4 linked regions of the Saccharomyces cerevisiae S288C genome follow. The protein of the gene in region 1 purifies or fractionates together with the protein of each later gene. This does not show direct contact. Each region holds a gene or a part of one and is shown in the gene's direction. Other genes may lie near its edges. The genes, in order: MCM16, AME1, IML3 and CNN1.

Region 1 (2,793 bases):
TGTTGTGAATATGTATATATTTATTTAGAAAAAAAAAAAAAAAAAAAAACCAAAATCATATACCTTAGGCATCCCGTTTCCCTCTTCATCATTTTTGTCCCTTTATATCAATTTTTTTAGACTTCATATAATTTTGTATCAACTGTACCCTACATCCCTTGGTATTCAAAATCTTGATATTACTACTTTTGCCATTACTGTCAGTGATTTGTTTGTTTAATATGAACTCCGTCAAGTTTTGCTCATTCAAGAAATTTGTTGTCTCTTCTATACTGTTGAAATTAAACTCACTTTTAACAAAATCTAAATTGACCTGGTTATAACTCTTACAAATTATGGTCAAAAATATCAACTTTTCTAGATTTAAGAATGAATTAATTAGACATTTTTCAAATTTGTGCAGTTTTAGGTAGTTTTTCATGAAGTAGTGATAATTGCCGACTAGTTTCATATCGCTCAACTCAAATATCATTTTGACATGTTCGTCCTCCAAGATTTCCGAAGAGCCATCGTCTATTAACTTAAGTTTTAAATGAGAAATCGACGGATAGTCTTCGGTTAACATCGAATACAAAACAGAATAGCATATAAATTCGGAATAAGATTTTTTTGGTATTGTAGGGTTTTCGAATAACGCCATAATCCTATTTTGACATTGATTAAATTCCCCAAGATCTCCGTTCTCCAAGGCAATACGTGCATGCGTTTGGTACACTTTAATAGTGAAAGAGTTCTCGATCATTTGCACTCTTAGGTCTTGTCTCATTGATTTAAACTGGTCGCAAAGGTAAGTATAAGTGGCTGTTTTAGATTGGTATTTGTCCATTAACAAGCAATACATTTTTTGTAGAATATTTGGGGGTCTGATCAAGTCAGGATTAGGCTCTGAAGTTAGTCTCAGATAAGATTTCTCTAGAGTTTGGCAACGCCCTACCACATGAATCTTTTTGTCATATTGATGAGATTTGCTACTAATGGCATTTAGGTTGGCAAAGTCTTCATTCAAATTATCGTTACTATTCGTCGTCGCTGATGGTCCCTGACTGAATCTTTCTGCCCTTCTCTTTCTTCTCTCTAATTCATCACTGCCACCCATTTCAACTTTCCATCCCGATGCCGAACCTACAGCACCATGCCCTACTATATTACTGTTGCTCATTACATTGCCGGATACCCCGTTAGAAAGGGCTGATGCCTTCTTAGATACTCTTGGTAATTTCTTTTTAATGTTTTTGTTCATACGTTTTTGTAATCCCGGAAGCGGTGTTACCATCAAAGGGTTAGAAACCTGGTTGACGTTGTTCCAAGATAAACGTGGTTCTGGCAAAGGCAGAGAAGGTTGTTGATTGGCAATGAAATTATTATTATTGTATGTCAGAGAAGGGAAAGATCCGGCGTAATCTAGGGGCCTATTCAGGCTTTGGCCGAATGGTCCTCCTTGAGATGAAGCTTCCCTGTCCTCCGTGGTATTGTTAGTAAAGTGACCGTAAGGATTCTGCATAATGTTATTGGAAACTCAACTACTCGCTGCCGAACGGTTCCTACTCCTTGTATTCTATGGTTTCTTTACGAGACAGCCAAATCTCTATTTTTTGTCATGTTCAGTCCTTTTTTACTCAAAAATTCCAAACCGTGAAGGATGATGCATGTTGACAATAAATGATAGCCGTCATCACATACAGTGTGCAATATCTAGATACTTCTAACCATTTCTTCCTGTCGTGGGGAGTTCATACCATTTTGACAGATGACAAACAGTAGTGAAAAACAATGGGAAAGAATCCAGCAATTAGAAAAGGAGCACGTGGAGGTATATAGAGAGTTGTTGATCACGTTGGACAGGTTGTACTTGATTAGAAAACACAATCATGCGGTAATATTAAGCCATACTCAACAGCGCCTCTTGGAAATTAGACACCAACTTCAAATTAATCTTGAAAAGACTGCTCTTCTTATTAGACTGTTGGAGAAACCGGACAATACCAATGTATTATTCACCAAGCTACAAAACCTCTTAGAAGAAAGCAATTCTCTGGACTATGAGCTCTTGCAATCGTTAGGTGCTCAATCTTCATTGCACAAACAGTTGATTGAATCAAGAGCAGAACGCGACGAATTGATGTCAAAACTGATTGAGTTATCGTCGAAGTTTCCCAAACCAACTATACCGCCAGACGACAGTGATACTGCTGGAAAACAGGTTGAGGTAGAAAAGGAAAATGAAACGATACAAGAATTGATGATTGCTTTACAGATACACTCCGGATATACAAACATATCCTACACAATTTGATTTTTATCTTCTAATGCTATTTATATATTCAAATAATTTTAATACTGACAACGCTAATAATAATAGTTACTTAATTAAGGTTTGAATCTTCGAGAAAAAAAAAAGGTAGGAAAATTAAGGAACTACTCACAAATTCAGAGAGAGAGAAGGGATAAAAAAATATCTGCCAATGGAGGTAACTTCAATGTTTCTCAATAGAATGATGAAGACCAGGACTGGTCTTTATCGCTTATATTCAACCCTTAAAGTTCCACATGTAGAAATCAATGGCATAAAATACAAGACCGACCCACAGACTACCAATGTTACAGATTCAATAATAAAGCTTACCGACAGATCATTACATTTGAAAGAATCACATCCAGTAGGCATTCTTCGCGATCTAATTGAAAAGAAATTAAACTCAGTCGACAACACATTTAAGATCTTTAATAATTTCAAGCCCGTGGTAACCACAATGGAAAACTTCGATTCTTTAGGGTTTCCTAAGGATCATCCTG
Region 2 (3,130 bases), on another chromosome or scaffold:
TTATCCTCCTGATCTAGCTGCTGATGCTGTTGCTGCAATTGTTGTTGCTGTTGTTGTTGTTCCTGTAACTGCAGCATCATATTATTTCTTGGCGTGGCATAAGCGACTCTTAAGGCCCTTCCTTGAAACCATTTCCCACTCATCTCAATCAGTGCCCTGCGGCGCTCATCTTCATCACCGAATCTGACAAATCCAAAACAACGAGATGATCCTGTTAAAGGGTCAGTCATCACGCGGACGGTTTTAACAGATTTGAACCTCGTTTGGAAAAGAGATAACAAATCAGCTTCAGTGGCGGTGGGAGAAAGATCACCAACAAACAAGGAAAATTCTGGGGTAGATGGTATAGAACTTTGTAAAGTAGCTCCAGACGCCCAATTCAATCTGAAAGTCCTTTTGAACGTTGGATTAGTTTGGGAGTTAGTTGTTGGGGAATAAAAATTAGGTAAAGGTGTAGCATTTAATGACAGGGCAAATTTAGCGTCCTTTTGAGTTTCAAATTCGACAAAACAGTATCCGGCATGATGTAATTGAGTAGTGGAAGGATCAATGAAGGATATTCCATTAATATTAATCATTTGGGAATTATCTAACTGATCAGTGCTGTTTGATGCAGATTGCTGGTTTTCAGCATTCTCCTCACTTGTGTTGTTATTACTACTTGAGGTGGAGCTACAAGGAATCAACAAATTTTTTTTGGCTCTAATTAGTTTAACGATAACTTTTTTATCCAGTTTTGACCATATCTCCTCAATCGTGGCCTCGTCGAAGGACGGATCCAAATCTCCCATCCATAACGTTCTTGGGGGTTCAGTAGAAGTTTCCACTGTGGATGAAGGAGGCAATGGAATAATATATGGATTTTCCTGTCTTTGGGAGGCGTTAGCAACGTTAGACATCATTTGTGTAAATTTTTCAGGCAAAAATCGATGGCGAAGGATATGAAAAAGCTGTAATATTTAAAAGATCCAATAATAGTAAAAACAATATAAATCAGAACGAAAGGGAAAGAAAAAAGCCTCCTTTATTAATATTGGAACAGGAAGAGAATATCAAAAAATGAACCGGGAAAAAAATGGAATTACAATATATGACAATATAACAGATTCGATCACGAGAAATCAGAATATTTGGAACTAGGATATAACACGCAGATGGTTTTCCGTACAACTATGAAGAGTCAGAGAAAAAAAAAAATAGTGAATAAGAATGGTAATCTCTTTTATTGCTTCTTTGTCGACTGCGTCTATGTATATTGGTTCTAAAGGGAACAGGGTATGATAACCAGATTTAATTACAAATATGCTTATTTTCACTTTTAATGGAGTGTATGAAGGTGCGAAACTGCTTGCTTGACTAAGATTTGGTCTTGAATACAAGTTTGGGGAACGCTTTTTGGAACGGCACTATCGCCCCTTCACAGCCGTTTGAAGCTGGTAGAAAATATTTTATCGTGTTGTACGGAGAAATTTAATGGTGTATCCAAATATTGTTAAAGGACTAGTAGAAATGATAATGATTGATTTCATTAGCTATTATGGCAAGGGTCAACATCGTTGCAGTATAAGAAGCGATTGCTCTCATTTTTTTACGTGTCCTGTGTTGCTCTGTATTGTCTTGACTATTTGCGTGTTCATTTAAAGAAAAACCTCAGTATGGATAGAGACACTAAATTAGCTTTTAGGCTGAGGGGCAGTCATTCAAGAAGGACAGACGATATAGATGATGATGTTATTGTATTTAAGACGCCAAATGCTGTTTATAGAGAGGAGAACTCACCTATTCAATCTCCTGTTCAACCCATTTTGTCTTCACCAAAACTTGCGAATTCTTTCGAGTTTCCTATTACCACTAATAACGTAAATGCGCAGGACCGTCATGAACATGGGTATCAGCCCTTGGATGCAGAAGACTATCCCATGATCGACTCTGAAAATAAAAGTCTTATAAGCGAATCGCCGCAAAATGTTAGAAATGATGAAGACCTTACTACTCGTTACAATTTCGATGATATACCCATTAGACAGCTATCATCGTCTATCACTTCTGTGACCACAATTGATGTTTTATCTTCTTTATTCATAAACTTATTTGAAAATGATTTGATTCCGCAAGCTTTGAAGGATTTCAATAAAAGTGATGATGATCAATTTAGGAAACTATTGTACAAATTAGATCTGCGACTCTTTCAAACGATATCAGACCAAATGACCAGAGACTTGAAAGACATATTAGATATCAACGTGTCGAATAATGAGCTCTGCTACCAACTGAAGCAGGTACTTGCTCGAAAAGAAGATTTGAACCAGCAGATAATATCGGTACGAAATGAAATTCAAGAGTTGAAAGCCGGTAAAGACTGGCATGACTTACAAAATGAACAAGCCAAACTGAACGACAAAGTGAAGCTAAATAAGAGGCTAAATGATTTGACTTCTACTTTGCTAGGCAAATACGAGGGAGATCGCAAAATTATGAGCCAAGATAGCGAGGACGATTCAATACGGGATGACTCAAATATTCTGGATATTGCACATTTCGTAGACTTGATGGATCCATATAACGGACTTCTGAAAAAGATAAATAAAATTAATGAAAATCTTTCTAACGAATTACAACCAAGTCTATAGGGAATTGGTTCAAAAGATGTATATATATATATATATATATATATATGTATGTATATATGTATATATGTATATATGTATTACTTCCATACTAAGGAAGTTGTGTTATAAGGTCATTTTTATGTGGTAGACATACTTCATAGATATGCACAAATCTCTCTTTTTTTTTCCTGTTGTCGCTATTAGCTTATCAAATTTGCATCATTTTCAAGTAACGCTGTGACCATTCTGTAGAAGTAGAAAAAGAATATGAGAAGGTAAAATCCCAATTTTAAAAAGCATTCAATTTTGCATCTACCCAATTTTCTGAAAATATCCGTGGCGTCCAGTAGATGTGTTTTCTTGTAGACTTTACTTGCGTTATATGCTAGAACAGGGACATTCAAGAGAAATACGAACCAGTACCCGTTAAAAAGAAACAATGCAGAAATGAAAGCTTGTAGAATTGCCTCTGGTACACTCAACCTATTCACCCTCTTACACAGTTCGATTGAGTTGATATA
Region 3 (3,125 bases), on another chromosome or scaffold:
AGGTACAGAATCAAGTCCATGTCTGAAAGGTTTTGGAGGTGGCATGATGTTGACATCTACATCATAATGTCCTAAAATGGACGACTTGGAGGTACTTTCATCGTTTTCTTTGTTTCCAGAGTTCCTTTCATTGTCTGCAGTAGTAGTTCTTGAATGCTTTGCTGGCAATGAAGCCGCCGAAGAGGTTGTGTTAGGCTGTATTTTCCCACTTGGCGCAGGTTCCTGGTGTACAACTGCTCCTCTATCCCTATGAGTGGGAGGTGGTGGAAGGCTACTAACGTCTACAGTGGGAATATCGATTTTGGGCTTCGGAGCAGGTGCGTCTGGGTCAAATGGAGTAACTTCAAAATGTGGGGTTGAGCCAGTAGAATCAAGAGAAGGCTCAATCGGATAGATGTTTCCCTGTTGCATTGGTTGCGGTGGCTGTGGCTGCATTCTTACAGGCACAGGCGGTTGTCCACCGACTGGAGGCTGACCTTGCATGGGTGAAGCTCCATAGCTGGGGTTCGAATCTTGCATGTTTGTAGTACTTGACATGGCTTGGCCATAGACAGGCTGAACCGCAGCCATCCCAGAAACTCCTTCCACGTTCATTTGTGGCAACAAAGCGTTGTTTTGGTTCAGAGGCTGCTGTTGCTGTTGCTGTTGCTGTTGCTGTTGCCCAAAGCCATTTGACAGAGGCTCTCCGGGCGCTGGCAAGATCACTTGACCGCGCGGGGGCGGTAATGGTTGCCCTTGTTGTTGCTGTTGTGGTTGTGCAGGTGATGGTAAAACTTGCTGGCCAAACTGTGTCGTGGGCTGCTGCTGTTGGCCCGATGGAAATTGGGATTGTCCGAGATTGGTTGAGCCATGTGATACGTATTGCGGCTGCTGATGACACTGAAGACCGTTCTGGAAAGACGGTGATGGTGCCGGATTACTTGATTGGGTACCATATTGCAGATTTTGCGAGACAAACCCTGTGCTTTGCTGAGAAGCAGAGTTCAGAGATACCTGACTTGGAATTGCATTTTGGGGTTGATTTTGTTGCGGCAGCGACTGGTAGCTGGTTGCATTAGAATTTGACCCATACGGTGGTACTTGCTCTCCATATATAGGCGGCTGCTGTGGCACTACACCTTGTTGCAGCTGCTGTTGCTGTGGCATTACACCTTGTTGCAGCTGCTGTTGTGGATACTGATTATACTGTGGTTGTGCGTATTGTGACTGTTCCGTCGATCCTGCGCCAGGTTGGCCTTGGTATGCACCCTGAAAAGCATAACTGGCCTGACCATTTGGCATTTGCTGTTGCTGTTGTCCTGTATAAGTTTTTTGTCCAGGTTTCAAAGGTGGGGGAGGAAAGGACTTTGGGTCTTTTAAACTTCTTATATCGGTCGGCTTTCTTTCGTACTCCATCTCATCTTCGCTATCATACTCCTCATCACTTGAATTTTTCTTACCACTCTTCCTTTCCCTACGCGCTTTGCTGTTGTTATAGTGCTTCTTACTTGCCTTATACCCTGTCTTGGCAACGTACTTTGTTCCTTGGTAACCATATTTACCGGCGCTCTTCAGCCCTGAAGTGATGGAATCTTTGTTGTTCTCCCAAAATCCCATGCTGGTTGATAACTTGATTTTTTTATGAAAGACCTCTCTCGAACATACGATTATGTAAACTCAAAATGACTTTATCCATATATGTATACACTTAATTTAGATGATGAAATATAAAAAAATAGGGTGGTCCCTGGTTTTCCTGAAGCGCGATTTAGGCAGATCCAGTGGTACTACGGGAAAAAAAAATGCCGACACCGATATGAAATAGACAACAACCATAGTGGGATGATCTGGTCGACTGCATGGTTGATTTGATTGTCTATAGGTATCAACGTACTTCCTTTGGATGGAATGCCTTATACTTGGAAGTTTTTAGGAATCAGCAAGCAACTTTCACTGGAAAATGGTATAGCAAAGTTGAACCAATTGCTAAACCTGGAAGTAGATTTAGACATTCAAACCATTCGAGTACCCAGTGATCCTGATGGTGGTACCGCCGCTGACGAGTATATCCGTTACGAAATGAGGTTGGACATCTCTAATTTAGATGAGGGCACTTACTCTAAGTTCATTTTCTTGGGGAACTCAAAAATGGAGGTGCCGATGTTTTTGTGCTATTGCGGGACAGATAACCGCAATGAAGTGGTATTGCAGTGGCTGAAGGCAGAGTACGGTGTCATTATGTGGCCGATAAAATTTGAACAGAAGACCATGATAAAGTTAGCTGACGCCAGCATTGTGCACGTAACGAAAGAGAACATCGAACAAATTACCTGGTTTAGCTCAAAGTTATATTTTGAACCAGAAACACAAGACAAAAACTTGCGGCAATTCAGTATAGAAATACCGAGAGAAAGCTGTGAGGGTTTGGCTCTTGGCTATGGTAATACTATGCACCCGTATAACGATGCAATTGTACCCTACATTTATAATGAAACGGGGATGGCGGTGGAAAGATTACCGTTGACTTCCGTCATATTGGCAGGGCACACGAAAATAATGAGAGAATCCATTGTCACTTCAACACGAAGTCTCAGGAACAGAGTTCTAGCAGTTGTACTCCAATCGATTCAGTTTACCAGCGAGTAACACTATAAAGAATATTCACCAAGATACAATAAAAAACCACAGCTCTACCTTTTTTGTACATATGAACCTGAAGACCTTCATGAATCATCGTCATTATCAGTAATATCCGGTTCGTCATATCTGCAATGACACCCCACAAAATCCCAGAGACATTACAATTTAGTGTAGAGATCCCGACACAACGGGCCAATGGCTGCTATGAACTAATGTTCACATAGTTTAATTTTGTTGAACTTTCAGTATATATTTGCATAAAATCATATAGACGAGCGCACTTAGCGGAAAGTGCGGCAGTCATACAAGCACGAGGAAAAAGAGGACACGACTCATTTTTCTTTACATGATAAGCCCAACAAAATGAAAACAAATAGAGTTCCTTGTTTTCATTTCATCTAATCAAGAAAAAAAAAGCAATTCTATGGCGATGTAGGAAAATAGACACAATTCGTCTAGCTTTATCTTATTTCATTCTATTTTTCTTATAACACTGCAGCAACTGC
Region 4 (3,190 bases), on another chromosome or scaffold:
GTTCTTGTGAGAATAAACTTGTCTACTAATCGCAAATTTTTCAAGATTAACCTTCCGCACCCATTGAGGTACTAAACTGATCTACCCTACCTTTCCTAAATACCTAATGTCAGGTACATAATGCCAGCGACAGCTCAAAATCACGGGATACTAATTATTAAATAGTAGTAGCTTCTTCTCCACGCACAGTTCGATCGAAGGAGCTAATATTCGGCTTGTCATCTTCCATGGCCAGTAATTTTTTTTATTGTCATTTGGGACTAATGAGATGGAAACTAGAATTGTAGTTATACATCCTGAGGTTTCTATCAACTTGTGTGTCACAACGTTTTATATACTTGAATGCGTAGTAGCAAACCCCGGCAAGACGTAAGTTAACTTGTCAAAGGTACAAGCTTGGTTACAAACAATGTGATATTTCGCTCCAGGATATTTTTGCTTTTGGTGACGCCGGTTGGTTGAAGAGCCCCCATTTATCATGACTCCTACCGCAGTTTTCGTATATCTTGGGCCATAAATTCGAAAATTAAAGACACCACTTAATAACGCAACAAAAAGAACGCAATCCTCAGAAAGAACACACACCAAAAAAAAAAAATGCCTGTTTATGAACACTTATTGCCCGTTAATGGAGCATGGAGACAAGACGTCACCAATTGGCTGAGCGAGGACGTTCCTTCTTTTGATTTTGGTGGATATGTTGTTGGTTCCGACCTAAAGGAGGCCAATTTGTACTGTAAGCAGGATGGTATGCTGTGTGGTGTCCCCTTTGCGCAAGAAGTCTTTAATCAGTGCGAATTGCAAGTTGAGTGGTTGTTTAAGGAAGGCTCCTTCTTGGAGCCTTCGAAGAATGACTCTGGTAAGATTGTTGTAGCTAAAATTACTGGGCCCGCTAAAAACATTCTATTAGCTGAAAGAACCGCCTTGAACATCCTTAGTAGAAGTAGTGGAATTGCCACCGCCTCACATAAGATAATCAGTTTGGCGCGTTCGACTGGTTACAAGGGGACCATTGCGGGGACAAGAAAGACTACACCAGGTTTACGTAGATTAGAAAAGTATTCCATGCTTGTAGGTGGCTGCGACACGCACAGATACGACCTTTCCTCTATGGTCATGCTCAAAGATAATCATATTTGGGCTACTGGTTCTATAACAAACGCAGTTAAGAACGCCAGGGCCGTGTGCGGGTTTGCTGTGAAGATCGAAGTGGAGTGTTTGAGTGAAGATGAAGCCACAGAGGCCATTGAAGCTGGTGCAGACGTTATCATGTTGGATAATTTCAAAGGTGACGGTTTGAAAATGTGCGCCCAAAGTCTTAAGAACAAATGGAATGGTAAAAAGCATTTCCTCTTGGAATGTAGTGGAGGCTTGAATTTGGACAACCTCGAGGAGTATTTGTGCGATGACATTGACATTTACAGCACTAGTAGCATTCATCAAGGCACACCAGTGATTGATTTCTCATTGAAACTGGCTCATTGAAAATGCTTAGGCTTCGATTTTTACTTTTTTTTATTTACATATTCTAAATAAGATTAAGAAGCTACGCGTTACCGATTAATGACACACACGACGATTAGTAACGAAATAAGAAATGAATAATGAGCACTCCCAGGAAGGCCGCCGGTAACAACGAGAATACAGAAGTCTCAGAGATCAGAACCCCCTTTCGGGAGAGAGCCCTTGAAGAACAACGTCTCAAGGATGAGGTACTGATCAGAAATACGCCAGGTTATAGAAAACTTTTATCTGCTTCTACTAAGTCTCATGACATCCTCAATAAAGATCCGAACGAAGTACGAAGTTTTTTACAAGACTTAAGCCAAGTGTTAGCACGCAAATCACAAGGCAACGATACAACTACTAATAAAACTCAAGCACGGAATCTAATAGATGAATTAGCGTACGAAGAGAGCCAACCAGAGGAGAATGAGCTTCTTCGGAGCAGAAGTGAGAAACTGACAGATAACAACATTGGCAATGAAACGCAACCTGATTATACTTCCTTATCGCAAACAGTATTTGCAAAATTGCAGGAAAGAGACAAAGGCTTGAAAAGTAGGAAGATTGACCCGATAATAATACAAGATGTTCCCACGACAGGACACGAGGATGAATTGACAGTGCACTCTCCAGATAAAGCTAACAGTATCTCTATGGAAGTTTTGCGCACGTCGCCAAGCATTGGAATGGATCAGGTAGATGAACCGCCAGTACGTGATCCGGTACCAATTTCCATAACGCAACAGGAAGAACCACTATCTGAAGATTTACCAAGCGACGATAAAGAGGAGACAGAAGAAGCAGAAAACGAAGATTATTCGTTTGAAAACACCAGTGACGAAAATTTGGATGATATAGGCAACGATCCTATCCGTTTAAATGTCCCTGCGGTGAGACGTTCTTCTATAAAACCGCTGCAAATAATGGATCTAAAACATCTTACAAGGCAATTTTTGAATGAGAATAGGATAATATTGCCGAAACAAACGTGGTCTACTATACAGGAGGAATCTTTAAATATAATGGATTTCTTGAAACAAAAAATCGGCACGTTACAAAAACAGGAATTGGTAGATTCGTTTATCGATATGGGTATTATCAATAACGTTGATGATATGTTTGAGCTCGCGCACGAATTGCTTCCCTTAGAACTTCAATCAAGAATTGAAAGTTATTTGTTCTAAAAAAGATACCGTAGAGAAAATAATTAAATAGTGGCAATTTATGTACAGAAAAGAGTAAAAGATCCACAAAATTATCAAGACCTGGAAGAGAAGCCTAGTAACAAACTAACCTGTTCATAAACAGTGAACGTTAAGCCTCCTGAAATACCGACTTTCATAAACCTAAAGATGGAGCCCTTCCAGAATGTGGCCATGCCTTCTTGAACAAATATTCTATACATGCAATTTAAGGTATTTTTATATTCAGTTTTGGCATTTTGACTCATCATCCTTGTTTTTACGACGTCAATGGGCTGAGTCATTGCCACGAGTGTAAAAGATGTGGCTAACCCCGTTATTACTGAGGATGCCTTGTCGTTTCTTGCTTGTAACAACCGTTTAAATGCTGTGTATGCAGTAAATTGAATAGAGGTGTTAGCTATCTGCCTAAATATGGTGGCTGTTGTTCCCTGGACGAACGCAGCAGGGCCTCTTGTTTGATACATGTGTTTTACCGCTGG

Evidence for each region.
Region 2: the proteins of MCM16 (region 1) and AME1 purify together in Saccharomyces cerevisiae (affinity purification with mass spectrometry; 6 studies listed by BioGRID, with this or other methods). This does not show direct contact.
Region 3: the proteins of MCM16 (region 1) and IML3 purify together in Saccharomyces cerevisiae (affinity purification with mass spectrometry; 3 studies listed by BioGRID). This does not show direct contact.
Region 4: the proteins of MCM16 (region 1) and CNN1 purify together in Saccharomyces cerevisiae (affinity purification with mass spectrometry; 3 studies listed by BioGRID, with this or other methods). This does not show direct contact.

The regions. Positions count from the first base shown.
Region 1 is NC_001148.4:655,052-657,844, forward strand, and holds MCM16 (Mcm16p), read left to right. Parts: upstream 1-1,747; coding exon 1,748-2,293; downstream 2,294-2,793. Other genes in the region: THP3 (Thp3p), read right to left, coding at 89-1,501; MSF1 (phenylalanine--tRNA ligase), read left to right, coding at 2,478-2,793. UniProt on the Saccharomyces cerevisiae protein: Component of the kinetochore, a multiprotein complex that assembles on centromeric DNA and attaches chromosomes to spindle microtubules, mediating chromosome segregation and sister chromatid segregation during meiosis and mitosis.
Region 2 is NC_001134.8:645,658-648,787, reverse strand, and holds AME1 (Ame1p), read left to right. Parts: upstream 1-1,655; coding exon 1,656-2,630; downstream 2,631-3,130. Other genes in the region: NGR1 (Ngr1p), read right to left, coding at 1-902; ERV15 (Erv15p), read right to left, coding at 2,810-3,130.
Region 3 is NC_001134.8:453,293-456,417, reverse strand, and holds IML3 (Iml3p), read left to right. Parts: upstream 1-1,887; coding exon 1,888-2,625; downstream 2,626-3,125. Other genes in the region: AIM3 (Aim3p), read right to left, coding at 1-1,596. UniProt on the Saccharomyces cerevisiae protein: Component of the kinetochore, a multiprotein complex that assembles on centromeric DNA and attaches chromosomes to spindle microtubules, mediating chromosome segregation and sister chromatid segregation during meiosis and mitosis.
Region 4 is NC_001138.5:242,574-245,763, reverse strand, and holds CNN1 (centromere-binding protein CNN1), read left to right. Parts: upstream 1-1,604; coding exon 1,605-2,690; downstream 2,691-3,190. Other genes in the region: BNA6 (nicotinate-nucleotide diphosphorylase (carboxylating)), read left to right, coding at 598-1,485; MRX20 (Mrx20p), read right to left, coding at 2,765-3,190. UniProt on the Saccharomyces cerevisiae protein: Component of the kinetochore, a multiprotein complex that assembles on centromeric DNA and attaches chromosomes to spindle microtubules, mediating chromosome segregation and sister chromatid segregation during meiosis and mitosis.